Linked DNA regions of Canis lupus familiaris. The main gene of each other region encodes a partner of the protein of the gene in region 6 in a complex. Links are inferred from orthologs where the notes say so. Each region holds a gene or a part of one and is shown on either strand. Other genes may lie near its edges.

The links.
Region 1: SF3B2 (region 6) and SNRNP40 share a complex: the UniProt entries of both Homo sapiens proteins name them as parts of the minor spliceosome. The link is inferred for Canis lupus familiaris from reciprocal best matches to the Homo sapiens genes SF3B2 and SNRNP40.
Region 2: SF3B2 (region 6) and HTATSF1 share a complex: the UniProt entries of both Homo sapiens proteins name them as parts of the 17S U2 SnRNP complex. The link is inferred for Canis lupus familiaris from reciprocal best matches to the Homo sapiens genes SF3B2 and HTATSF1.
Region 3: SF3B2 (region 6) and small nuclear ribonucleoprotein E-like share a complex: the UniProt entries of both Homo sapiens proteins name them as parts of the minor spliceosome. The link is inferred for Canis lupus familiaris from reciprocal best matches to the Homo sapiens genes SF3B2 and SNRPE.
Region 4: SF3B2 (region 6) and SF3A2 share a complex: the UniProt entries of both Homo sapiens proteins name them as parts of the 17S U2 SnRNP complex. The link is inferred for Canis lupus familiaris from reciprocal best matches to the Homo sapiens genes SF3B2 and SF3A2.
Region 5: SF3B2 (region 6) and SF3B5 share a complex: the UniProt entries of both Homo sapiens proteins name them as parts of the SF3B subcomplex of the 17S U2 SnRNP complex. The link is inferred for Canis lupus familiaris from reciprocal best matches to the Homo sapiens genes SF3B2 and SF3B5.
Region 7: SF3B2 (region 6) and SCNM1 share a complex: the UniProt entries of both Homo sapiens proteins name them as parts of the minor spliceosome. The link is inferred for Canis lupus familiaris from reciprocal best matches to the Homo sapiens genes SF3B2 and SCNM1.

What each region holds. Positions count from the first base shown.
Region 1 is NC_049223.1:69,116,098-69,120,380, reverse strand, and holds the start of SNRNP40 (U5 small nuclear ribonucleoprotein 40 kDa protein), read right to left. Parts: upstream 2,801-4,283; 5' UTR 2,746-2,800; coding exon 2,602-2,745; intron 2,426-2,601; exon of another isoform or gene 2,287-2,425; intron 383-2,286; coding exon 253-382; intron 1-252. UniProt on the Homo sapiens protein: Required for pre-mRNA splicing as component of the activated spliceosome. Component of the U5 small nuclear ribonucleoprotein (snRNP) complex and the U4/U6-U5 tri-snRNP complex, building blocks of the spliceosome.
Region 2 is NC_049260.1:107,807,800-107,811,299, reverse strand, and holds part of HTATSF1 (HIV Tat-specific factor 1), read right to left. Parts: intron 2,838-3,500; coding exon 2,674-2,837; intron 1,579-2,673; coding exon 1,479-1,578; intron 1-1,478. UniProt on the Homo sapiens protein: Component of the 17S U2 SnRNP complex of the spliceosome, a large ribonucleoprotein complex that removes introns from transcribed pre-mRNAs.
Region 3 is NC_049222.1:93,813,111-93,815,404, forward strand, and holds small nuclear ribonucleoprotein E-like, read left to right. Parts: upstream 1-1,334; 5' UTR 1,335-1,353; coding exon 1,354-1,632; 3' UTR 1,633-1,794; downstream 1,795-2,294. UniProt on the Homo sapiens protein: Plays a role in pre-mRNA splicing as a core component of the spliceosomal U1, U2, U4 and U5 small nuclear ribonucleoproteins (snRNPs), the building blocks of the spliceosome.
Region 4 is NC_049241.1:57,268,151-57,272,382, forward strand, and holds the start of SF3A2 (splicing factor 3A subunit 2), read right to left. Parts: upstream 2,801-4,232; 5' UTR 2,705-2,800; coding exon of another isoform or gene 2,611-2,704; 5' UTR 2,362-2,610; exon of another isoform or gene 2,254-2,361; intron 2,187-2,253; exon of another isoform or gene 2,020-2,186; intron 1,804-2,019; exon of another isoform or gene 1,700-1,803; intron 1-1,699. Other genes in the region: PLEKHJ1 (pleckstrin homology domain-containing family J member 1), read left to right, coding at 2,611-2,704, 2,801-2,868, 3,323-3,389, 3,940-4,030, 4,102-4,165. UniProt on the Homo sapiens protein: Component of the 17S U2 SnRNP complex of the spliceosome, a large ribonucleoprotein complex that removes introns from transcribed pre-mRNAs.
Region 5 is NC_049222.1:35,794,967-35,797,524, forward strand, and holds SF3B5 (splicing factor 3B subunit 5), read right to left. Parts: upstream 1,246-2,558; 5' UTR 1,112-1,245; coding exon 851-1,111; 3' UTR 501-850; downstream 1-500. UniProt on the Homo sapiens protein: Component of the 17S U2 SnRNP complex of the spliceosome, a large ribonucleoprotein complex that removes introns from transcribed pre-mRNAs.
Region 6 is NC_049239.1:51,700,026-51,702,513, forward strand, and holds the end of SF3B2 (splicing factor 3B subunit 2), read right to left. Parts: intron 1,454-2,488; coding exon 1,354-1,453; intron 1,268-1,353; coding exon 1,082-1,267; intron 743-1,081; coding exon 671-742; 3' UTR 501-670; downstream 1-500. UniProt on the Homo sapiens protein: Component of the 17S U2 SnRNP complex of the spliceosome, a large ribonucleoprotein complex that removes introns from transcribed pre-mRNAs.
Region 7 is NC_049238.1:60,887,577-60,891,750, reverse strand, and holds SCNM1 (sodium channel modifier 1), read right to left. Parts: upstream 2,801-4,174; 5' UTR 2,657-2,800; coding exon 2,606-2,656; intron 2,395-2,605; coding exon 2,324-2,394; intron 2,091-2,323; coding exon 2,002-2,090; intron 1,927-2,001; coding exon 1,829-1,926; intron 1,708-1,828; coding exon 1,619-1,707; intron 982-1,618; coding exon 787-981; coding exon of another isoform or gene 643-786; coding exon 543-642; 3' UTR 482-542; downstream 1-481. Other genes in the region: TMOD4 (tropomodulin-4), read left to right, coding at 641-804; LYSMD1 (lysM and putative peptidoglycan-binding domain-containing protein 1), read left to right, coding at 3,537-3,716. UniProt on the Homo sapiens protein: As a component of the minor spliceosome, involved in the splicing of U12-type introns in pre-mRNAs. Plays a role in the regulation of primary cilia length and Hedgehog signaling.

The DNA.
Region 1 (4,283 bases), on a different chromosome or scaffold from region 6:
GCCTCCATGAGGAAGATATTCTCAAAGAAGAGCAACTCACTTTTCAACTAGTAACATAATCTCCTCTGTATTTACCACATGGATCTTGAGGTCTATATTCAAGATCATTCAACATTCTCCTTACACTGTTTTAGCTATGCAGTTTGTAATGCGAATAATCCAGACTGATACACTCTGTGGCACTAAAGGTTTTAAAAAATAATCACTATTTAGCAGAGAGTGATTATCCCAACTTCAAAAACTATCTCTTACATATCAGTCGATCAAAGCCTGCAGATGCTAAGGTGGATCCATTGGGATGAAACTTGCAGCAGTACACTTCCCCTTCATGTCCTGAGAGAAGCATGATTGGCGCTTGAAGGGAGGAACACCTTGGAGGTCCCTAAACAAAAGACAGAAGTACAGGGTAGTTACTACATACAGGCAAAGGAGACTACAAAAGACACGGTAAACAATCATTGAGTAGATTTCTCCTGATTTAGAGAATGGTAACTCTTCTCACATTAACTTAGGCCTCCAATTTGATACCCTCCTACTCAAGTGTCCAGTGTCTACCAGTTATACTGACTACTCCCTCAGGCTCCTTCTGTCCCATAGCCAACTTTAAATTGCTCAAATATGCTAAGCTCATTTCTGTCTCAGGATCTTTACACTTCTTGCTCCTGATCGGAATCCTCTTCCCTTGATCGTCCTGTGTTTAGCTCTTTCCAAATGTTTCCTCTTCAGAAAGTCTTTCATTGATCACTCAAACTCAAAGCAGCATCACACCTCCCCTCTGTATTCCATTAATCCTACTGTATTTCCTCACAGCACTTAAGACTACCTGAAATCACCTTCCTTTGTATTGGTTTACACATTTTGTCCTCTTCCCCGGTAGAAAAGCAGCTTTGTGACTGCAGGGACCCTGCATTCAACACTTTTCCCAGTCTCTAGCACATTTAATTAATGCCTGAACTGAGCTTCCCAACAACCCTGCAAGGTACATATTACCCAGGAAAGTAGTTTTGACTATGGTCTTGACACTAAACCTAGGCTTGGACAATTCACTGGAACCTGGGCTGACATTCCGGTCAGAGAGAAGACCTGGTACACTATTGATAATCCCCAAACATCCTTAATAGCTTTCAGTTTACTCATTTATTTAAAAAAAAAAAAAAATTAACGTGCCAGGCACTGTTTTAGGCGTTGGGAAAACAGTACTGAACAAAATAAACAATGGAGTTTGTGTTCCCGTGGAAAGGAGGAAGAGAAGAGACGAAGAGAGAAAACAAAACATATAGCAGGTTGGTATGTGCTACGGAAGAAAAAAAGCGATGTGGATTAATACATATGGGGTATTGCAATTTAAAACAGGGTAGTCAGGAAGGCCCTTACTGAAAAAGTGATATCTGAACAAAGATTTGGAGGATCTGAGTGTGTAAACCACGTGGATATTTTGAAGAGCATTCCAGTTGAGTGCAGCAAATGCAAAGGCTTTGAGGCAAGAGCATGGAAGCCAGTGTGACTGGAGCAGGGGGAGTAATGGAAAATTGGTAGATCTGAGAGGTAAAGGGAAAATGGGCAAAAGATTTTAAGGATTGTAAGGATTTAACCCTGGGTGAAATGGAAAGCCATCAAAAGTTTTCAGCAGAGGGTAACACGAGCTGACCTTTAGCAGGATTCTCTAGCCACTGGACTGAGAATAGATGGACCATAAAAGAATAGAAACAGGAAATACCAGTTAGGACCTCACTACAATAATGCCAGATGAGAAAAATAACGGCTTAGACCAGGGGCGAGTGATGGAGGTGGCACAAGGATTAGCAATTTGGCATCTATTTTGAGGACGGTGTGCCAGCAGGATTTGCTCACCGGCTGGTGGAGAGGTTGAGAGTGGAGACGTTTACTTCTTGATCGGAGCCTACCAGCCCAGCAGAGGGGTGATCGTTATTACCTCCATCTTACAAGAAATGCAGTTAAGAGCATGGATTCGGCTTTAAAACCGTTTCCTATCACTTACCGGGTTAAGAGCTTACAAAACAGGGCACTGAGAGTTCCTAACTCTTAAGCTGTTACCAAGATTAATGGGGTTTTCATACACAAAGCCCTTAGGACAGGTATTAAATGAAGGTCAGCTCTCGTTCCGTTGTTGTTAGTAACAGTACTAGTGCTGAGACATGGGGGGGGGGGGGGGGGGGGCGGGCATCTTGACCAAAGCAAGCCGGGCTCATTCGTTTCCTTTCTCTCCTCATTCATTCATTCATTCATTCATTCATTTTTTTCAGCCGTTCTACAAAGTTTTCTGAATGTTTACTCCACGCTGGGTCCCTGTGGAAGATTTAATACGAAAAAGCCCCGGTGCGGGTTTTGACTTCAAGGTCCTTAACGCTAAATGTAACGCCACCTCCCAGGGTGGTCGAGACGCTGAAAGCGGGCGTCCAACCAGGTAACGAGCGGAGCGTCCCGGGGGGGCAGGGGGGGTGTCGACCGCTTTTACAGTGTTTCCTGTGTGAACTGCAGGCAGCTATTCCCGTTCCTACCCCGCACTGCGGGATCACCGGGGGCGGGCTCCCTGAGGGGAAGATGAGCTGAGGCCCGAGGGCCGCCCGCGACTCCACTTACCGCTTGTAGCAAAGCTCCCGGCGCCGTCTGCTGCTGCCCAGCTCCGGGGCCCGACCCCGCCGCTCCCAACAGCAGCTCATGCCGCTGCCGCTTGACTGGGACCAGTGGCAACTCCGGGCCTTTGCGCTTTTGCTGTTCTATCATGGCGGCAACCGCTCTCCTCAGCGCCGCCACTGACCGCGCCGACACCCTCAGGCAGCGCGCGATTGGTTCCGACTTAGTTCTTCCCCCAGAACTTCCGGCTTGGAGTAACCAATCGGTCTGCAGCAATCCCCTCTGCACCGCCTCCCTGAATACTCTTCTTTTATTGGTCAGTTCTTTCTGGCGTCACGGGAGTGCGGTGCTGGGATTGGTGGGTGGAGCTGGAGTCCCACCTAGGCGCGCTGGGTCTTGTGGGTGGAAGCGTTGTCTGGTTTTGGCGTTTCGCGCAATGCTGCGGCCGGGAGACCGGGAGCTGACCCAGAGTAAGTGGAAGGAAGGTCGAGGGTGGGTGGCTGCGGCATCTAGAGACGGCGCCTCGGTTGTGTGACGTGAGCCTGGCTCTTCTCAGCTGAAGGTTTGCAGGGGCCTGAGGCGGGCCCCGGGGTCCCAGCGTCGGCGCGTAGCAGCCTGGGTTCCCCTTCTAGGCTGGAGCAGGGCTTTGGGGTCTCTGCGGCCGCCCGGGGCCCTCGTCCGCCGACTCGTTCGTCCAGCGCCTGCCGTGTCCAGCCCTGTGCCTGTGCCGAACGCCCCCAGGGAGGAAGGGCCTGTCTCCCAGCTCCACCAGGCTCCTCTCTCTGACTGAGGAGGCCGGCTTGTTTCTGCCACTGGTCATGCAGCCTTTTACGAGGGCCTGCTCAGTGCCTCTGGGAGAGACAGGGATGAGAGGAGTATCCGACTGCTGCTTCTCCAGAGCACAGTCCTGTGGAGAAATTCGGAATCATATCTGGGAACTAGGTCTCCTTAATTGTCCAACTGGTGTTTATTGGAAAGAGCCCTGAGAGGATACATTGTGAACCAAAGATGGTCCCACGTCGGGCCCCCTCCATGGAGCCTGCTTCTTCCTCTGCTTGTGTCTCTGCACCCCCCCCCCCGTCTCTCATGAATAAATAAATTAAAAACAAACAAACAATTCAAATATTTGAATATTGAGGGCAAGCATGTTAAACAGTGATCTCACTAAGAGCTTTAAAATACGTGCTGCCTAGGAGAGGTGCCTGATGTTATGAGTGTCTGCAATAAGCAGAAAAGCCTCTGTGAGGAAAAGATGCCCGAACTGATACCTGAAGGAAGAATTGTAATTATTTGGGTCAAGGGAGAAAGGCAGAGCGTTCCATATAGAACAACATGTGCAGGGGCCCTGCGGCAAATGGGAGGAAAATGACTGAACGGCAGAAAGAGGCCACTATGGCTACTTCAGAGGGAATGAAGGAGGGTCTGGTACAGGATGCAGCTGGAGGTGGGTAGAGGTGCAGGATTTTTACTTCAGGACTGATGGGAAACGACCGAGCTTTTTGTTTGTTTGTTTGTTTTGTTTTTGTTTTGGTGGGGGGAGAGAGTGGTGTGATGGGACAGGTGGTGGCTTGATCACTCAGTAGCATAAACAGATTGGAGGAGAGATAGATGCAGATCGACCATTTAGGTGAGAGATATAGCAATGAGGACTGAGGTATTGGTACAACTACAGAGAACTGGACAGATGC
Region 2 (3,500 bases), on a different chromosome or scaffold from region 6:
GAGAAACTAAGTCTGCACAATGTGATGGCCAGATTCAAATTAGGTGGCTCAATGAGCAAGGCAAGAAGCAAAACACAAAAACAGATGTAATTACACAACAGACTTCTACTCACAGAGGTTCCAGACAATTTGAATTAAGTTTGCATTAATATTCACATTCAAGTGTTAAGAATATGGAATGCATGCATCAAACCAAGGACATGAAGTCATAGACATTAATAGGTCATGTAATTTTAAAAAGCCATTTAATATTTAAATGAGATGAACTCTAAGAAATTGGGAGCCATACCTAATAGATAGGGATACCCTGGGGTCCATCTAAATTCCTTTCAAATCTCTATTTGGCAGGGGAACGGTTTCAAAAAGTGTTTCAAGATGAGTCAGGATTCTACTCAGTAGAAACATCAAATGTTACAAATTGACCACATGTATCTCCCCAGTGATCTCAAAAGATGCACAGACCATATGGGTGCACAGCAAACTCTACCACATGACTCTGGGCTGGGATGGAGCTCAACAGACCATAGGGGGTTCTCTCCAAGGGGGCTACAGTGAAACTGCCATGCTCACTGTTTCAATGCACAGGAGTGAGAAAGGTCTTTGGTTGCACCTAGATCATTTGTAAATCTGGAGTTTCACAGTATGAACCTTCTTTGTTGTTGTGTGACTTGTTATTTTTATGTTTACTTATGTTGACTTGTGGTCTTTATCTATCTTGTGTGTAACTGGTTGTCATTAATTTCAGATTCCAGGGAGAGGAGAAAGACCTGATGCCACACAAGTGCCGTCTGTGGTTTGGATAAAAGACTAGCCCCAAGGACAAGAGGCAGACCAGCGCAAGGTGCCCCGGCGGCATGCTATACCTTGCACACCTCTTGCACCTGTCCAGCTCTTCTTCACTCTGTTCACTTTTGTTCGCTGTTCTTAGAATTTTACCTGGACACTAAGTATTTATAAAGTCCCCCTAATAGCCACAAAAGCATTGTATGAACGTCAGGTCTCGAAAAACCACCTTTAGTATTTAAACACCAGGAGCTGTCTTTCATTAACCTGAGGGTTTTTTTGTTTTGTTTTAAGGATCAAATTTGTGGTACCAAAGTGAAGTTCTCATTTGCCAAGTATAAAATGACTCCCCGCCCAAACCGGCCTGTGCTTGTTGAAATGCACTCAAAATCCATAAGCAGCGCCCAGAAATCTTTCAGTGATTATATTTTTAATGATTTCCCAGAGTAAGTAGCTGCTGTTTACAGCTGCAGTGTGGGTGTTAAGCAGTGTTCCCTGGGGGACAACTAAAAGAACCCTAGGCTGAATGTGGGAAAATTTAAACATTTTGATACACTCTTAGCTCTATTTTCCTACCTTGACAACTACATGGAGGGGTGGTATGTGACATGTGAAAACATGGGGTGAAGCAAGCTTGGGACTCCCTTGAAAGAAAACACATCAGTGTTTCCATCAGTGGGAATATCACCTCCTACCTCAAAATCCATCGGATGAAACATATTTTTGATGATGACAACTCGCTCATGGCGCATTCGAGATGGGCCAGCTCTTCTCTCAGGTCTCCAGTCCAACTGCCTAATGCAATAGAGCAGGAACAAGATACTGAATTTTGTTTCATACTTGCAGGACAGAAAAAAAGGAGTTGTTACAATCAACCTTTATTTGAGTATATAGTGATGCTAATTATTCGATTCTAAAATAACAATATGTATTTCTGGAGAACTTTCGGAAGTAAAACTAATGGGCAGGTGAAAGATGGACCCAGTGTCTGAAATTCCCAGAATGTATCTTTTTTCAGGGCTGCTGTCTGGTTACAAATGTTCCAGTAAGATTCCTGTAAAGAGCCAATTATTTAATATTTATGACTATCTGGTATCTACGCCTACACTTTGAGGGCAAAAAATACATTCTACTTGTATTGGTTTTGAGGCATTTTATGATTATAAGGACCAAACTACATTGAAATATGTAAAACTACTGTTACATAACCAAAAATTTTATTGCTAGGTGTTTATAAAATTGGTAGGTATCTAGCCTATTCCTGTAAAAACTATAGGATATCACAACTCAACTCCTTTATCAGCACTGTTATCATTAAGTTGAGTGCAGTGTTAGAAGTGTTATTAGAACTCACTGTGATAGAAGAAAATACTTATCATTTCAGCCAACTTCTTAAAACCAGCATACTTCAAAAAACCCATTGACATGAATGGATTAGTAGACATTTGATGATGTTTACTGTACACACCGTGTACAACCCTATCAAATACAGTCATAAAAGCTGCTGTTTCTAACTCCTACTGATGAGCCTACACAGACGCCTTAGCTCCTGGCGTAGCTGATGTCAATTCACATTAGAAATGAACTAATGGCTCTGGTAAACAAGCTTCAACTATTTTATTTAACTTCATGTTCAACTTCTTCCAGAGATGGCCCTCTCATCTCATTGAAGCCCGGTTTATATTACAAATTAACACTCCAGGAAATAGACATGCTGCCACTGCCAGATCATCCTGCAGTAGAGATGACTGAAGGTTTCTGATGATCTAATGAAATTCTTTGAAAATAACTTCTGCATACATTTGATGGAACACAACTAAGGAGCTACACCCAAAACATAGTCTAGGATATGTAAATGAAATCATTCAAAAAGCGAAAATCAACACAAACTTCTGTTGCAGAGACAGCTTTTTCTTGTAGTCTTTGCACTTCTTCTTCTTCTTTGAGGCATCATACTCTCCCTTCAGTTGAAACTTGGCCACTTCGACATGCAATTTGTAGCCTCTAATTTCATCTTCGTCCAGAAGCTTTAACGCGAGATCCACAGATTCCCTCTTTATAAAAAGGTAAAATGAGATAGAATTTCCATGCTGAAATGAAACTTGGGGAGGTTTTTTAGGCAAACGATGACTATATGGACAATAAAGATTTCATCACAACTACCTCCTTTGAGATAAAGAACTCTAGGCTGCCTTATCAGGAAACCTGCACTCTAGAAACAGCTGTCCTCAACCAGTTTTGTGAACTTGGGCAAGTTATTCAATTTCTTCATCTGTAAAATGGGAAGAAAAATGCCTTCTTTGCAGGGTTCTTGACAAAATCAAATGAAAGAACGCACATAAAGGATAGGGACTGGCATATAGAAGGTACTTAAACTGCATTATTATTGGAATAAGAGTATTACCTCTTGGGAGTCTCAATTTCTCAATGAGGCAAATGGACTTGTGTGACTTTTAAGGTACAGTTTTATTTATTTATTTATTTTTAAAAATGTATTTATTTATTCATGAGAGACACACACAGAGGCAGAGACATAGGCAGAGGGAGAAGCAGGCTTCATGTAGGGAGCCCAATGCGGGACTTGATCCTGGGACTCTGGGACCCCGCCCTGAGCTGAAGGCAGACACTCAACTACTGAGCCACCCAGGCATCCCTACGGTACAGTTTTAAAATTCTCAAGTACTACTACTTAAAAGACTACATGACTCAAGGAACTG
Region 3 (2,294 bases), on a different chromosome or scaffold from region 6:
TTCCCTTTCACTATTATTTATATTCCCCACATGAATGAGAACATATAATGTTTGTCCTTCTCCGACTAACTTACTTCACTCAGCCATAAAAAATATTTAAAAGCACTACTTGTAGTTATCCCTAGTCATCATCTCAATGTTATTGGGACTCAGATCACCATCTTATAGTTCAATATCCCAATCTTCTTCTTTTTTTAAAAAAGATTCCAATAAATAAATAAATAAATTAATTAATTAATTAAAAAAAAGATTCCATTCATTTATTCATGAGAGACACAGGAAGAGAGAGGCAGAGACACAGGCTGAGGGAGAAGCAGGCTCCATGCAGGGAGCCTGATGAGGGACTCGATCCCAGGTCTCCAGGATCACACCCTGGGCCGAAGGCAGGTGCTAAACTGCTGAGCCACCCAGGGATCCCCAATATCCCTATTTTCTTAGATGTTCCCTTGAGGAAGGGGATCTGCATGTCTTAGAGGTGCTGGACTAGTGCCCTGTGAGTTTCTTGGAACTCTGAAAGTCTATAATCTCTACCAACTCCTCAGTTACTGCCTTTCATGATATGTTTAACTAATCAGGAAAGGGACAAGGAGCATAGACTGCAGGAGCCAGACAGACTAGTGTATTAATTTTCTGTAGCTGGGTAACAAATAACCATACACTTAGTGGCTTGAACACATACTCATTATCTCACGGTTTCTGTGGGCAGGCATTTAGGGATGGCCAAGCTTGGTGCTATGCTACAGGGCCACACAAGATTGTAATGAAGGTGTCAGCCAGGACAGAGTTCTCATCTGCAGGAGCCAATTCTACATAGGGACTATAATAACTTGGATGTGTAGATTTATGTATTTCATCAAATTTGGAAAGATCTGCTCACTATGTTTTCAAATATTCTTTCTGCCCCTTTCTCTTTCTTCTCTTATTCTGCAGCTCCAATCAGGTGTATGTAGGTACACAGGAAGGCATCCCATACATTTTTGTTTGTTTCTTAAGTTTCTCAAAGAGTGATCCTTAAGCCAGAAGCATTGACACCACCTCAGAAGTTGTTAGAAATATAAATTCTGGGGCACCTGGGTGGCTCAGTCAGTTGAGCATCTGATTCTTGGTTTTGGTTCAGGTCATGTTCTTGCAATCATGAAATTAAGTAAGCCCTGTGTTGGGGCTCCATGCTCAGTGGGGAGTCTGCTTTAGATTCTTTCTCCCTCTCCCTCCCACTCATGTGTTCTCTCTCTCTCAAATAAATAAATAAACAAATAAACAAATAAATAAATAAATCCTAAAAAAAAAAAAGAAATGTAAATTCTTAGGCCTTGTTGCAGATGTATTAAAGAAACTCTGGGGTCCGCTTCCACCATGGCGTACCGTGGCCAGGGCCAGAAAGTGCAGAAGGTGATGGTTCAGCCCATCAACCTCATCTTCAGATACTTGCAAAATAGATCTCGGATTCAGGTGTGGCTTTATGAGCAAATAAACATGCGGATAGAGGGCTGTATCATTGGTTTTGATGAGTACATGAGCCTTGTATTAGACGATGCCAAAGAGATTCATTCTAAAACAAAGTCAAGAAAACAACTGGGTCGGATCATGCTAAAAGGAGATAATATTACCCTGCTCCAAAGTGTCTCCAACTAGAATGAATGATCAGTGAAGTGAGAAATTCTTGAGAAGGCCACGTAGTTTGTTTTTTTAGATGTCCTTTGTTGGGAATATAGTTCTAAAACCCTTGTTCATATTGTTTTGATTACCTTTATGTTCTTACCAGAGGACAATAAATGCTGTGGGATTGTTTTTATTAAAAAAAAAAAAAAAAGAAAAAAAAAGAAACTCTGGGGATGAGGCCCAACAATCTGTGTGTGTGTGTGTGTGTGTGTGTGTGTACGTGCATGCGTGCATGTGTGTGTGTTTTAATTGAAGTTGATACACAATGTTATAGTAGTTTTAGGTGTACAACATAGTATTTGACAAGTCTACATATTATGCTATACTTACCGAAAGTGTAACTACCATCTGCCACCACACAACCCAATTACAATATCATTGATTGTATTCCCTACCCTGTACTTTTCATTCCCTTGACTTATTCATTCCATAACAAGAAGTCTGTACTTCTTACTCCCTTTTACCCATTTTGCCCATCCCCCTAAACCCCCTTTGACAACCACCAGTTTGTTCTCTGTATCTATGAGTCTGTTTCTGTTTTGTTTGTTCCTTCATTTTGTTTTTTTAGTTCCACACATAAGTGAAATCATATAGTATTTGTCTTTTTCTGTCTGAGTTGTTTCGTTCAGCATAAT
Region 4 (4,232 bases), on a different chromosome or scaffold from region 6:
CCAGTTTGGCTGGGACCCAGGGGCCAGGACAGAGACATGCCCTCACTTCCTGTCACCTGTTCTAGCAGTGACATCTCCAGAACACCCCACTGACCCAGCGGTGGGGAGCCAGTAAGAGCCATAAGACTGACTTGGAAAGTAATGTGTTAACAAAGCCAGGAGATCCCCCCCCCCACCCCATCTGGTGAGGATTCCAGTTCCTTGTTAAGCCATCAGATAAGCCCCTCAAATGCTAGTGGCTGGCTGGGGCAAAGGCAACACGGGTGTTGCAAAAAGGGTCCACGTTTAGAGTGACGGGCTCAGGAAGACGGAACGCAAACACTGAGCTGGTCACCAAGTTAAAGGGAAGCAGTAGCCACTGGAGACCCAAGGTGCCAGTTGCTTGTAGCCCACTGCAGAGTGTTCCTGGCCTCCCCAGGGGAGGTCATCCCCTACAGGAGCCCAGGGGCCCTCACCCGACTGCCTGGGTAGGTTTTACAGTCTCAGAAGAACTGAACAAAGGGCCGCTCCACTTAGAGGGGCAGGCACAGAGGGAGAGAGTTGGAGAGCCAGGGAGTGGAGTGAGGGCCAGGCTGTAAAGAAGGAATTCCATGAACACCTGCCCTGCCCCTGCAGCTTGCCCAGAGGGTCCACCTGGAGGTCCCCAATCCAGGGACACAGTGAGAGCACGCTAGAAACGGTATTCTCAGACACTGACAGTGGGAGTCCCCTGCACCCCCAAAGAAACCTAGGCCTGTCTGGTTTCCTAGGCCTGCTGGGCAGTGAGACTCGCTAGGTTAGAGTCTGGGAACTCAAACACAGACACATCCGCTAGCCACCCCCCACCCCCCCAGGCAATGTTAGCATCCTCCTTAATTAGAGGGTGAGAGGGGGGATCCCTGGGTGGCTCAGCGGTCAGGGCGTGATCCTGGAGTCCCGGGATCGAGTCTCACGTCGGGCTCCCGGCACATGGAGCCTGCTTCTCCCTCTCCTCTGCCTTTGTCTCTGCCTCTCTCTCTATATATATATCTATCATAAATAAATAAAAATTAAAACAAAACAAAACAAAACAGGGTGAGAGTTACTACACCTCCAATGCAGAGCACGGCACCAAAGGTTAGCAAGGGCAGTTAAAACCCAAACCCAAGACCTTTGGAAACAGCTGAACTTAAGAGCTTGCGGGTACAAGTCAAACCAACCTTTTACAAAGAAACGCAAAACAGGGGGGAAAGTAAGAGAACAGGACTTAGATGAAATTTCAGAGCGAGAACAGCAAGAAGCATGGAAGGCATCCTCAAAGAAATCTGAAAGCATTCCCAAAGAAAGGGAAACAGCCCGGGCCCGGGGCTTGAGAGAATCTCATTGTTCGGACGGAAAAAAGGACAGAGACCCCCGTGGACAGAGACCATCGGGAGGCGCGGGTGGCTCAGGTCGTGACCCCAGGGTCCCGGGCTCCCCGCTCAGCAGTCAGCCTGCTTCTCCCTCTCCTCCCCCTGCTTGTACTCTACCTCCCCCTCTCTAATAAACAAATACAAATCTTTTTTTTTTTTTTAAAGATTGTATTTATTCATGAGAGACACACAGAGAGAGGCAGACACAGGCAGAGGAGCAGCAGGCCCCCTGCGCGGAGCCCGATGGGGGATTCGATCCCGGGACCCCGGGGTCACGCCCTGGGCCGCCTGGGGGCCCCAAGAGGGATGCTCAGTCTAGAGCTTGTTACCCTAAATTCTCAGCACGCACGTTCGCGGACAACCGAAGTCAACGTCAGCCCCGGGACGCCAGGGCGCGGGCCCGTCGCGGGCGCCCCCTCGGCCTCCCCCCCCCCCCCGACCCGCCGCCAGGGACCCCACGGCGCCGCCGGGCCCCGACCCGACCCGCACACTTCCGAGGAGGCGGGACTCGTCGGGCCCGACCCCGCGCGCGGCCAGGGAGCTGGGGCCCGGCGGCGCCGCGAACCCGAGAGCCCCCCGCCCCCCGCCGCTCCCGTCCGGGGAAGCCAGGGCCCCGGGACCGCCGCGCTCGGCCAGCCCGGATCCTCACCCCGCGCGACTCCTCACCCCGCGCCCGCCGCTGCCACGAAGACGTTATGCGCAGGCGCGTCGCGGGCTACAGAAGCGCTTCCGGGGGCAAACGGTGGGGTCTGGGGAGAGGGGTGAGGGCTTCCCGTGTGCGCATGCGTGCTTCGCCAGGCGAGGCGGACCTGATGCTCGAGAGGGCGAGGAAAGGGGGCGGGGCTGGGAATAAGGGCCGGAACTCGGGAGTGCGCGTGCGCACCAGGCTCTCCACGCCTAGCGGGCGCCGGGCCGGTTTCCGCGGGAGGGCGGGCGTGGGCTCGTCGGTAGAGGGCGCCACGGTCGTGAGGCTGCCTTCCTGGGTTCCCACCTCGGATCCAGCTGACTGCGTGGTTATTTATAACGGCCGTCCGTGTCGGCCGGTATCGCGTGCTCCCCCACGCGGGCCTGGCTTAGCGCCGCGCGCCGGCCAACACCACAATGCGTGTCTCGGGGCCGCGCAAGCGCAGTGGCCGCGACGGCGCTTCCGGGACGGCACTGTAGGACTTTTTTGGCGCGAGAGGGGACGGCGGCCGGGAGGGCGCGGCCCGCGCTCCGCGTTTTGGGTCCTGGCAGCGCCATGCGCTACAACGAGAAGGAGCTGCAGGCGCTGTCCCGGCAGCCGGCCGAACTGGCGGCCGAGCTGGGCATGCGAGGCCCCAAGAAAGGCAGTGGTGAGCGGGCCGGAGCGCCGGGCGGGCGGGCGGGCGGGCTGGCCGGGCGGGGGTGGGTGGCGGCCGAGCCCGCGTGAGCCCGCCCTGTGCCCGCAGTGCTGAAGCGGCGGCTGGTGAAGCTGGTGGTCAACTTCCTCTTCTACTTCCGGACGGACGAGGCCGAGGTAGGCCGACGGGCGGGGGTCGGGGCCGGGAAGAGAGCGGGGGCCCGGGGGGCGGGGAGGGCGGGGCCGGGGGAGGGGCCGGGGGCGGGGCCGGGACAGGTGTCGGGGCCGGGAAGGGAGCGGGGCCTGGCGGGGGGAGGGGAGGGCGGGGCCGGGGGGCGGGGCCGGGACAGGTGTCGGGGCCGGGGAGGGAGGGGGGCCTGGGGGGGGGGAGGGGAGGGCGGGGCCGGGGGAGGGGCCGGGACAGGTGTCGGGGCCGGGAAGGGAGGGGGCCTGGGGGGGAGGGGAGGGAGGGGCCGGGGGCGGGGCCCGGACAGGAGTCGGGGCGGGGGGAGGGGCCGGGAGCGGGGCCCGGACAGGTGTGGGGGGGGGCGCGCCGGGCGGGCTTTGGGGTCCGGCGGGGGCGGGGGCCCGGGTCCCCACGAGGCCGGTCCCCACTCGCCCCCTCCCGCAGCCCGTCGGAGCCCTGCTGCTGGAGCGCTGCAGAATCACCCAGGAAGAGCCCAGCGGCTTCTCCATCTGTGAGTGCCGCGCCCGCCCTGCCCCTTCGGCCCGGCCGCGGGTCTGCGCGGAGACAAAGTCCACCCTTCCCTCGGGCTGCCGGGGTGCAGCTCCTCTAGGACCTTGTCTCCTGTTGGGCAGTGCTGCACTGGGCTGCCGGGCCCTGCTGTGGGCGCCCTGGGGCTGGAGAAGTGACGTCATTGGGCCTGCGGGGGATCCTTGTCGGGGAGGTTGTCCCAGGCGAGCCTGGCTTCCGGGGTGGCCGGCAGCTGGCAGCGCCCTTGCCTCTGCAGAAGGACTCCTAGGGTGTTCGTGTCCCCCCTTCATGTTCTCGGGGACGTCCTGTGCCGCCTATTCTCCCCTGACTTATTAAGTAGCCGCACTCTGAAGGGTTCTGTATCTGGGCCACAGGCTCTAGGGTTAGGACTGGAACTACTGTGTGGGGGGCACCATTCAGTCCACTCAGCCGCTGGGAGTCGTCTTGGCCTGGAGGAAGGTGGAGGCCCGTGGGGGGGCTTCGGAGGGGGCGGCGGGCAGTGAGATGGGACAGACAGACCGCTCCCTCCGCAGGCTTCATGGAGGACCCAGAGAGGAAGTACCACTTTGAGTGCTGCAGTGAGGAGCAGTGTCAGGAGTGGATGGGGGCTCTGCGTCGAGCCAGGTGAGGTGTGGGCCTGCCCAGGGGCTGGGGAGGGGGGGGCCTGAGTGAGCACATTCCACTTTCTCCCCCAGCTACGAGTTCATGCGGAGAAGCCTCATATTCTACAGGAATGAGATCCAGAAGATGACTGGCAAGGTGCGCAGGGGGCAGGGGGCAGGGGGCCGGGCAGCGGCCTCTGGGGCCCCGGCTCATGCTGCTGGTT
Region 5 (2,558 bases), on a different chromosome or scaffold from region 6:
TTATGCCTACAATTTGTGTGCCCCCCCAAGTATAACATAAGCTCCAAAAGCGAGGCAAAATGCCCACCACATAGAACTGACTCAACAAGTATTTGTTGAATGCCGAATGAATGAAAGAACTCGTCTGACAGCCTGTCGTTTTTCAGGATGTGTCCAGAATCCCAAGAGAAAGAGACGATGCAACTTACATAGAGGAGTGGGCAATGCTAGTAAAGATTTTTCTGAATGCAAGAACATGAAAGAGGGATACAGTGATCATAAACCTTAATCCTCAGTCCTGAAGGCATTATGGGCCTGAAAAAAGCTCTTGGGAGAAGTCTGGGTTGGGGAATATTATAAAGATCGTGCAAGGCGGATTTAACTGTATGCCAATGAACGCTGGCCCTGTGCTCAACTCCTCCACCCATCCATCTCCCGCCTCTTCGGTCTCCCAAGAAACTAAAGTCCCCAAAGCCCTCCTTGGACCCCCTTCCACTCAAACGCAAGTGGTCCACACCAAGTGATTGAAAAACTTCTAGACTTTATGGAAAAAGAAACGACAATCAACTAGCCAAAAAAGAGCCTCCAAATCCCGTCTGATCCCAGTTCCTTCCCCCCTCTCTTGCTGGTTTAGGACCTCTCCACCGTCTCAGTTCTCACGGGTCCTGACAGTCTCCCAACGCTGTTCCTAAGGGTCCACAGGAAAGCAGGTCAGGCGGGACGGCCTCAGCTAAGCACTTGTGCACGAGGAAGGCGCGAGAAACAGGAGCAATGGAGAACCGGTCCACTTCGGGGCAGGAACACGCGGGAGAAACGGCAAACGGGAGGAACTCGGGACACGCTCCCGCGTGGCAGTGACGAGACGGGGGTGTCAGTTCTCCTCCGGCTTGTCGGCTGGCGGTCCGCAAGGCTGCAGCATCTTCTCCATCAAGTTGAAGCGGACTCGCGCTTTGCTCTCATTCTCCGCAATGGCGAAGTAGTTGAGAAGGTCGAAGTGGCCCATGTAGGAGCAGTAGGAGTCGCGGTGCTGGTTTACCAGCCACTCCCACTTGGTGGTGTCGGCGTGGCCCGTGCCGATGTACTTGGACTGCAGGTGCTCCAGCTGGCTGTGGATAGTGTAGCGGTCAGTCATCTCGCCGCTTTCCCTTCGCGCCCAGGTCAGACGCCGCAGAGGAGAAGCTGCTCTAGACTTCCACGCGGGAGAGAGCCCACGACACGGCACCTCCCGGCCGGCTCAGTCGCAGGAGAATGACGTCACAGCCACGGAGCCGCGAGGACTCGCGGTCCTAGCGCTCAGAGGAGGAAGCGGAAGTGTATTCCGTCAGGGAATTGGAGTTGCCTAGGCGACGCTACCAGTCGGCCGCCCACCCCCCGCCCCCGCCATGGAGAGCTCCGCCCCCTCCGTAGAGCGTTGCATCATGGTTCATTCAGTGGCCCTTGCTCTAGCGCGGAGCGTTGCATGCCGGGAGCTGCGGTCGCCGAGGGTTCGTGCGCGCCCGCCTCCCTGGGCGGTCGTCGCGGTTTAAGAGCCCGCCGGCGCCTGGTGGAGCGTCGTGTCGGGGAGGCGGGGAGCATCCCTGGGCGGCTGGGAGCTGCGAAGAAATGGGGAGCTGCCACAGGCCGCCGTGAGAGTAACCTCGGTGTAACTTTGGTTTCGGAGCGAATGTGGCGGCGTGGTGGGCCCCGTCACGGCCCGGGGTGGGTCACCCTGAGAATCGGTCGACGCGACTGCGGCTCCCAGCTGTGCGTCTTCCTTCAGCGCTGGCGGGGCCGCCGTTTCCCGCCCGGTGCCCGAGGACCCTACGGGCGCCGACACGTTCGGGCGCCGACACGTTCGGGCTCCCACACCGAGCCCCGCCCCCCCCGCCCCCCCCCGCCCCCCGGCGCTCCAGCTGCTTCATTTGATGTCCTGCCTCCAGCTGCTCGCCCCACCCTACGCACCCCAGCCTGTGTGTCTCAGCATTCCGTGCCGCTCGCCTCTCCAGTTCTTTGTACTAGATGTTCCCTCCGCTTGGAATGCTTTTGTTCCCTTGGCAAACAACTTCTCTCTTTAAGTCAGCTCAAAAGCATCTCCTTGAAATCGGCTTTGGCCACACCAGACAGACGTAAAGTCTCCTGTACATCGCTTCATTATGATCGCCTTATAGCCTACGCTTTGGGTTCTTTTTTTTTTTTTTTTTTTCTGAGAACTCCCTCGTGTGAATTCAAACTACTTGGGGGAAAGTAGCGTATACTTTTTTGATGCCATCATTTATCATAGCTTCTTTTGTGGCATCTTTTTTGTGATAACCACACTTGCGATACTTGGCCTGGTAGAGCTCGCATTCTCAAAAAACGTTTGATGAATGGATGAACAACTGTGGCAGCAAATAGAAGGGACTCTTTAGTGGGAGAAAGATGACTTTAAAATAGTTCTGTTCTGCAGTTAGGTACAGATGAGTAAGTCTAGAGATCTAATGTACACACAGCATGATGATTGAAGTTAATCCTGTATTGAATATTAGAAATTTGCCAAGAGAGTGGATTTCAGGACGTGTTGATTAGCTCAACTGTAGCGATCATTTCATTATGCATATCCA
Region 6 (2,488 bases):
GTAGCCTGTTGGGAAGACTTCTTGGGACCAGACAACTTGAAGAAAGCAAGCCTTCCCCGCCCCCCCAAGTTAGTGACTTAAACTATTCAGGGGTTCATATGGACTCAGGACAATCTAGATATGGAGCTGTGTTCTCCCCAAGGTATGGACTTGGGACTCTTTTGACCATAGGTCTATAGGAAGGCCTGACCTGGCCTACTTCCCAAGCCCACTGCACTTCCTCAGCCCAGCCAGGGTGCTAAGCTGGCTATTTTTAGTCTCCAAGGACAAAGCAGTAAGGTCAAACCAGGCCTAGAGGTACTTCCCCGAGAGCCCTCTTAGAAAAACAGGCAGTGGTGAGGCACAATTTCAGCATGGCTTTCACTTTATCACCAGTCTCAACTGCAGCATCTGATCCAGGTGCATGCCCTTGGTCACTGGAGCAGCCCTGAAGTTGCAGAAAAAGCCTGTTTTAGTCCTTTTGCACAAGGTGGTTAAAAGACAAAGGAGGATCAGAAGTGTTGCATATGCATCTCTTTCCGTGGGAAACAGTTTTATTTACAAAACAGGTCTAAAATAAGAACATGAAATGACAAGCCCTTGGGAATTGTGGGAGAGCTGGCTCTTGGGGACCATGTGTGAAGCCCAAGCATCCAAAAGGCCTAAAGGAGGCCAGGTGTGTGAGGGAGACCTAAAATTTGAACTCCTTATATTTCTTGCTGCCCCCACGGCTGTCCTGGGGCTGAGCTTTCCGTTTCTTTTGCTAGAAGAAAGAAAGAGAAACAGGTTACAACAGGTAAAGCCACCAATGATCCCCAAGACAAGGATGGGCAACCTGACTCAGCCCCATAGATCTATGGAAACAGTGCTAAAACTGGAGTCTCAGACTTGGGTGAGTTCCCCTCCCTGTGCCTTAGTTTCATCATCTTAAAGAGGGCAGCCCACCAGAGGATTTCTAAGGTTTCCAGCACCAGGGAAGCTCAGGGCAGCAGACACTGAGTGCACCCTCATTCTCATATTCAAGGACACGACGTCGCTGAAAAAGGAGTCCCTGGTATCTACTCCCTGGCTCACACCCAGCTGGGTTCCCATGACCTCCTACCTTCTGTTTGGCAGCATGCTCGGCCACCATGTCACTGAAGTCTTCTTTCTCCACCTGTGCCTGCTGCTCCCGCACATGCTCCTCATACTTTTGGGTCATGGCCATGGGATCCAGCTCCAACTCTTCAGGTGCCAGGGCCACTTCCACACCTTGTAGCTCGGGAGCTGGGCCCTTCCGACTCATAACCTAGCAAAGGGATCAATCTTGTCATCTAGAGAGAGACTTAGAAGACTTTGTTTCCGCCCCCTTTCCCAGCCCCCAAAAGTGCTCACCGTGGACATGTCATAGATGTGGGTTGATCCCATCATGGCTCCCCCAACAGTGGCCGTTCTCTTCTCTGGCAACACAGTGAACAGCTGAGGTGTCTCACTTCTGCAAAGGACAATGAGGTCAGGCCCTAAAAGGCCTCCAGAAGGGGAAGCAAAGAGCATACAAGCAGCACCTCCACCTAGCTTCCAGAGGATAAACAATGCCTAGACTGCCTCTGCAGGTCGTGGAGGCCCATGAGAAGCAAGGAGTGGGTAGGTGCTCAGTGCAGGAAATACAGCCTGGAAGGAATATGGGGACTGAGTTAAAGGATCTCCAGAAGCAAGTTTAGAAGATCAGAGAACAAGATTCCCACACGTAAAGAAGGGCTAAGGGTCAGGCTGAAAGTTTCTGAAAGAACTGTGGTACAGAGAAGATGGCAGGAGAAAGGAGACTACAAAAGCTCCTACCCAAAGTTTTACCCAGAGCTCTAAAATAGAGAACTCAAACTCCCAGTACTTCCTATGGCGTAAGAACCATCTGAGCCACTCTCCCCATGTATTTCAAGGATTCCACACAAAACACAAAAGAGCAAATCCACCAATATCAACCTAGACCTCGCCCCACCTCTCACCCTGAAACAGGTAACAATTTATTCTCATGTAGCAGCCAGAGTGAACACCTTAAAACAGTTCAGGTCCTTTGTTCAAAATCCTGAGGCTTCTGGGAATCCCTGGGTGGCTCAGCGGTTTAGTGCCTGCCTTTGGCCCAGGGCGCGATCCTGGAGTCCCGGGATCGAGTCCCACGTCAGGCTCCCAGCATGGAGCCTACTCCTCCCTCCTCCTGTGTCTCTCTCTCTCTCTCTCTCTATCATAAGTAAATAAATAAATCTTAAAAAAAAAATCCTGAGGCTTATGATTATTTGAATAAACCCAACCTCCTTACATGACAGGGTTCATAACCTGGTCCCCTTACCTAATCCTTGTCTCCAATCACAGGACCGTTCTTTTCTTTCTTTCCTAAATATGCAAAGCCTGAGACTTCTGCAGAAGGGGTAACAGGGACCAGATTTACCCTCCCACCTGACATGACCAAAAAAATGGGCAAAACACATGAAACAAAGGTCTTCAAGTCACTGGACATCAGGTAACAGAGGAGAGT
Region 7 (4,174 bases), on a different chromosome or scaffold from region 6:
CAGATACGGGTAGGGCCCCTGGTGTCTAACTACAACTTCATGTGATCTGAAGGAGGAAAGAACTTTGAGTGAAGGTGGGGAAGAAGGCAGACAACAAAAAAAAAAAAAAAAAAAAAAAAGAAGGCAGACAACATGAAGGGCAAAGACCTCCTTCTGACAGACTTATTAATAGGGCATTGGGCTGCATGCAGCTGACGCTTGGCAGTACTTTGGTTGAAGGTGGGGGAGGGGTCAGAAGTATGGGGAGCTGTGTACATTTCAGGGAAGAATGGGCCTGGCTGTCCTGAAATGGGGGACACCTGAAATGGGTGGCTTGGTTGGTTAATCAGAGTTTGACTCTTGATCTCAGCTCAGGTCTTGATCTCAGGGTCATGAGTTCAAGCTCTACATTGGGCTCCACATTGGGTGTGTAGCCTACTTAAAAAAAAAAAAAAAAATCCACCAGTGAAATCCTGAAATGGGGCAAGGAAGTAGACTTGAAGAAAGTTAGACTCCTGGAGCCTGCTGAAATTTATTTGTGAACTGAGGGGGAAAAGAGGGTATCAGTCTAAGGAAAGGTCAGGAGGTTCCTCTTCATCAGAGTCAAACTCAACATTCTCATCTTTTACCCATCGACCTTGTCCATCTGGGATCCATCCAGAGCTGCAAATAACAGAAAATAGAATAAATCAGGAAAAGAGGTTTAAGAAGTTAATGGGGATAAGAGAAAAACAATTGAGAAGGATTGAAATAAGAAAACTCAGAAAGAAAAGAGAAAACTTGAAGAAAGTGATTCTGCATACAAACCTTCGAAGGGTGAGGTAATGATCCAGGGCTCGTTTCCTCGTGGGGCTCATGGGCACAGGGGATGAGACAGTTGCTGACTCCTTGGCCTGTGGGCCAGCTCCAGGCATGGGTTCCTTAGTGATCTTCCCACTCTCAGGCTCAACCTCTGGGGGTGGTAAAGGGGGATGGGAGACAGAGGGACGAGGGGTTTCTGGTCTAGGTAGAGAAGAATCAACGTCTATAAAAGTAGTAAAGGAAAAAGGCCAATTCTCCTATGACTCCCAATCCCTTACAGAAGTGTTTCCTAAACTGTGTTCCTCAAGATATTAGTAAATGTCTTGCATAAAAAAAAGAATTTTGGAATCATATGAATTTTTAAAAGGCTAGTATAACATTTTGAGGGTTTTTTTTTTTTAATCTTTAGACTTTGTAGAGCCCTTCGAATATATTAATATTACTACTCTTCAAGTAGGATCACAAAGTGCCATTTCCTGGGGCACCTGGGTGACTCAGTGGTTGAGTGTCTGCCTTCGGCTCAGGTCATGATCCCGGGGTCCTGGGATTGAATCCTGCATTGGGCTCTCCACAGGGAGCCTGCTTCTCCCTCTGCCTATGTCTCTGCCTCTCTCTGTCTCTCATGAATAAATCAGTAAAATCTTTAGAACAAAAACCAAAGTGCCGTTTCCTAAACTTAAAAAAAAAAAAAAAAAGCAACATTCTCTTTTTTTTCTGAAATATCAGTAAACATCTCTGGAGTATTAATATTCCTGAGAATACAATTTGTAATACCTTTATCTTAGAGCCATCTATCTCCTCTGACCCGCCCTACCTCTGGCTTTCCCACCCCACAGACCTGTGCTTCCTGCGGCAGCAACTGTTATAGTGAGGAGCTCTGTGCAGAGCACTCTGGGTGGTAAGTCGGGTCTGCGTTAACAGAGGAGCCTGGTGTGGAGATGGGAAACACAGTCAGTGTCTTCAGAGCTAGAAAGAAGTCGAAGCCCTTCAAGCCTAAGATGTGCAGCAGGCCCACCCAAAACACACCCTCCCCTCCCTGATTACCTACCTCAGCCTTGATCTCTGACTGCCTCAATTCATTCTGCTGTCTTGGATTCTGCTCCATTCCCTTTACTGGCTGCTTCTTGCCATAGAAAAGCTGCAGGCCTGAAGGTAGAGGGGAAGAGAATTAAAAACAAAACCGCAAGAGTGATCTGCAGAGATTTGTCTTCCCTCACTTACTGGACAGATGTTTCTTGCCTGCACGGTGGGCAGTCAGCATGGCCAGGGTGTCCAGTACAGGTCGGTGGGGACAGATAGCACAAGCGAAGCTGGAGAGGAGGGTAGAAGATATTCGGTGCCAGGTGAGTGGGGTCTGGTTCCACCTGGACCTAGCAACCCTTTCCAAAACCAAACTCTAGGGTCTCCCAATTTCCACCACCCACATCCCTGTCCCTCATCCCCCATCAGAAAATCCTAGATACTCCCGCTCCCCCCTTGATAACAAAATTATACGAAGCCTATAACCGCAGCACCCTCGGGCTTGATCACCCCTCGCCCTCACCGTCCATCCCGTAGCATGAGCGCTTCATCCTCTGGGATATAACTGGCCAGCAGGTCCCCGACTCTCCGTTTCTGCAGGGGGTAGCCGGACGGGACCAGTGGGAGAGGAGGGAGGGGTCAAAGATTGAAAGGCAAAAAGGACCATGAGAACAGAGATCACTGGGCGAAGAAGGGGTCACTACCCAGCTCTGGTCGCGCCGGCCCCGCAGCTGTTGCCAGAGCAACAAAACAGCTCCTTCACGGGGCAGTGAAACTGTTCCCGATGCTCCCCTCTCGCGCTTACTTTGAGCACATTGAGTTGACTCGAATCATCCCCTTCCCTCTTGAAAGACATTACGACTGAGCTCCAGAAGCGAACAATTCTCCCGAGCCGCCTCGGCCACTCCTCTCAGGCCACCGTAGCGAGAGTAAGGCGTCTTCTCCCGTCGGGTTTCTTTCCGGTTGGCCTCCTTACTTCCCTAGATGCACAGCGCTCGCGGAAAGCCCGCCCACAGCCTGCGGAGCCGACCGCACTGCCCACGCGACCCGGCGACCCCGCAGGCGCGGGGCGTTTTGGGAAATGAAGTCTTTTTTTCAAAGGGCTTGCCACCCAGCTGGCTCCCGGCCCTTGCATCTTGGCTGATTCGAGGCGTCTGGGGAGACAAGAACTTAAATGTGGAGACCGACGTTGAGGCCGTGACGGATTTGCTGAGGAGCGGGCCTTGGAAGATCTCTGAGTGGAACGTGTAGTACAAACTCTCGCGGTCCTCACGCGCCTCCCTGGCCGCCGACAGCCCACCAGGAGGGGGCTGGATTTATTCCTGACACAAGCCGACCAACCCGGGACGAGGCGGGGCCGGGGTGTGAAGGGAACCTGGGAGGCGGAGGCTGCCTGACCTGGGGGAGAGGGGCGAGCTGAGCGGAGTGTGGAGGGTAACTACGGTTCAAAGGTCAGAGTTCATAGTGGTGGGAGGGTTGAAAGTCAGCGGGGTGCTAATAAGGAGAGACTCTGGTAGGGACTGGATCCTCGGGATACAGATTCGTGGGAAGGCGCCTGGGAAGCGGGACAAACGAGAGCCGCGGGGGCGCGAAGTGCCGGGGCAGACGGGGGTTTGTGAGAGGAGACGGGGGAAAGGAACCCCCTGGATAGACGTCCCTCGCCCCCAGCCCCGTGGCTGTCGGCACTTAGCCAGGCCTCCCTCACTTGCAACCCCAGCTGCCGGCGGGGTGAGGAGATGGCTTCGTCCTCTAGACAGGCCCCCCTCGGGGGGTCAGGACTGCTACAGGGGAGCCGGGCTCGTTCTTACGGAAGCCTGGTGCAGTCAGCCTGCTCCCCGGTGAGGGAAAGACGCCTGGAGCATCAGCTGGCCCCCGGAGACACCCTGGCTGGACTCGCACTGAAATACGGGGTGACGGTGAGTCTTCCATGGTAGGGATGCAGACAACCACTCAGAAGAGATTATTCCTCATTAGAATGTAATGACCCGGCTAGGCAACTTCCCCTGAAATTTCCTAATTGTGTTGTGGTCTGACCCACCTTTATCTTTTTGTTCTCCCATCTCAGTGTTGCCTTGTCTGGTTGGGACAGACCCTGTGCCACTATCCGGGTGGAGAGGAGCTGCTTCTATTTATGCCAGTCTCTATTCTAGAGGTTTTACATACATTGGCCCATTTGGTTCTCCCATCCCCGTCAAGCATACGTTTGTTTACAGATGAAGAAACAGACTTAGATTGGTTAACCAATTTGACCAAGGTCAAATAACCAATGAGCATTAGAGTGGGAATTCAAACAGATCTGACTCCAAAGCTCGTAATATTAACCACATGGAAACTTTTTAATTGCAAGTGATTAAACATTTACAGCAAACAGTGG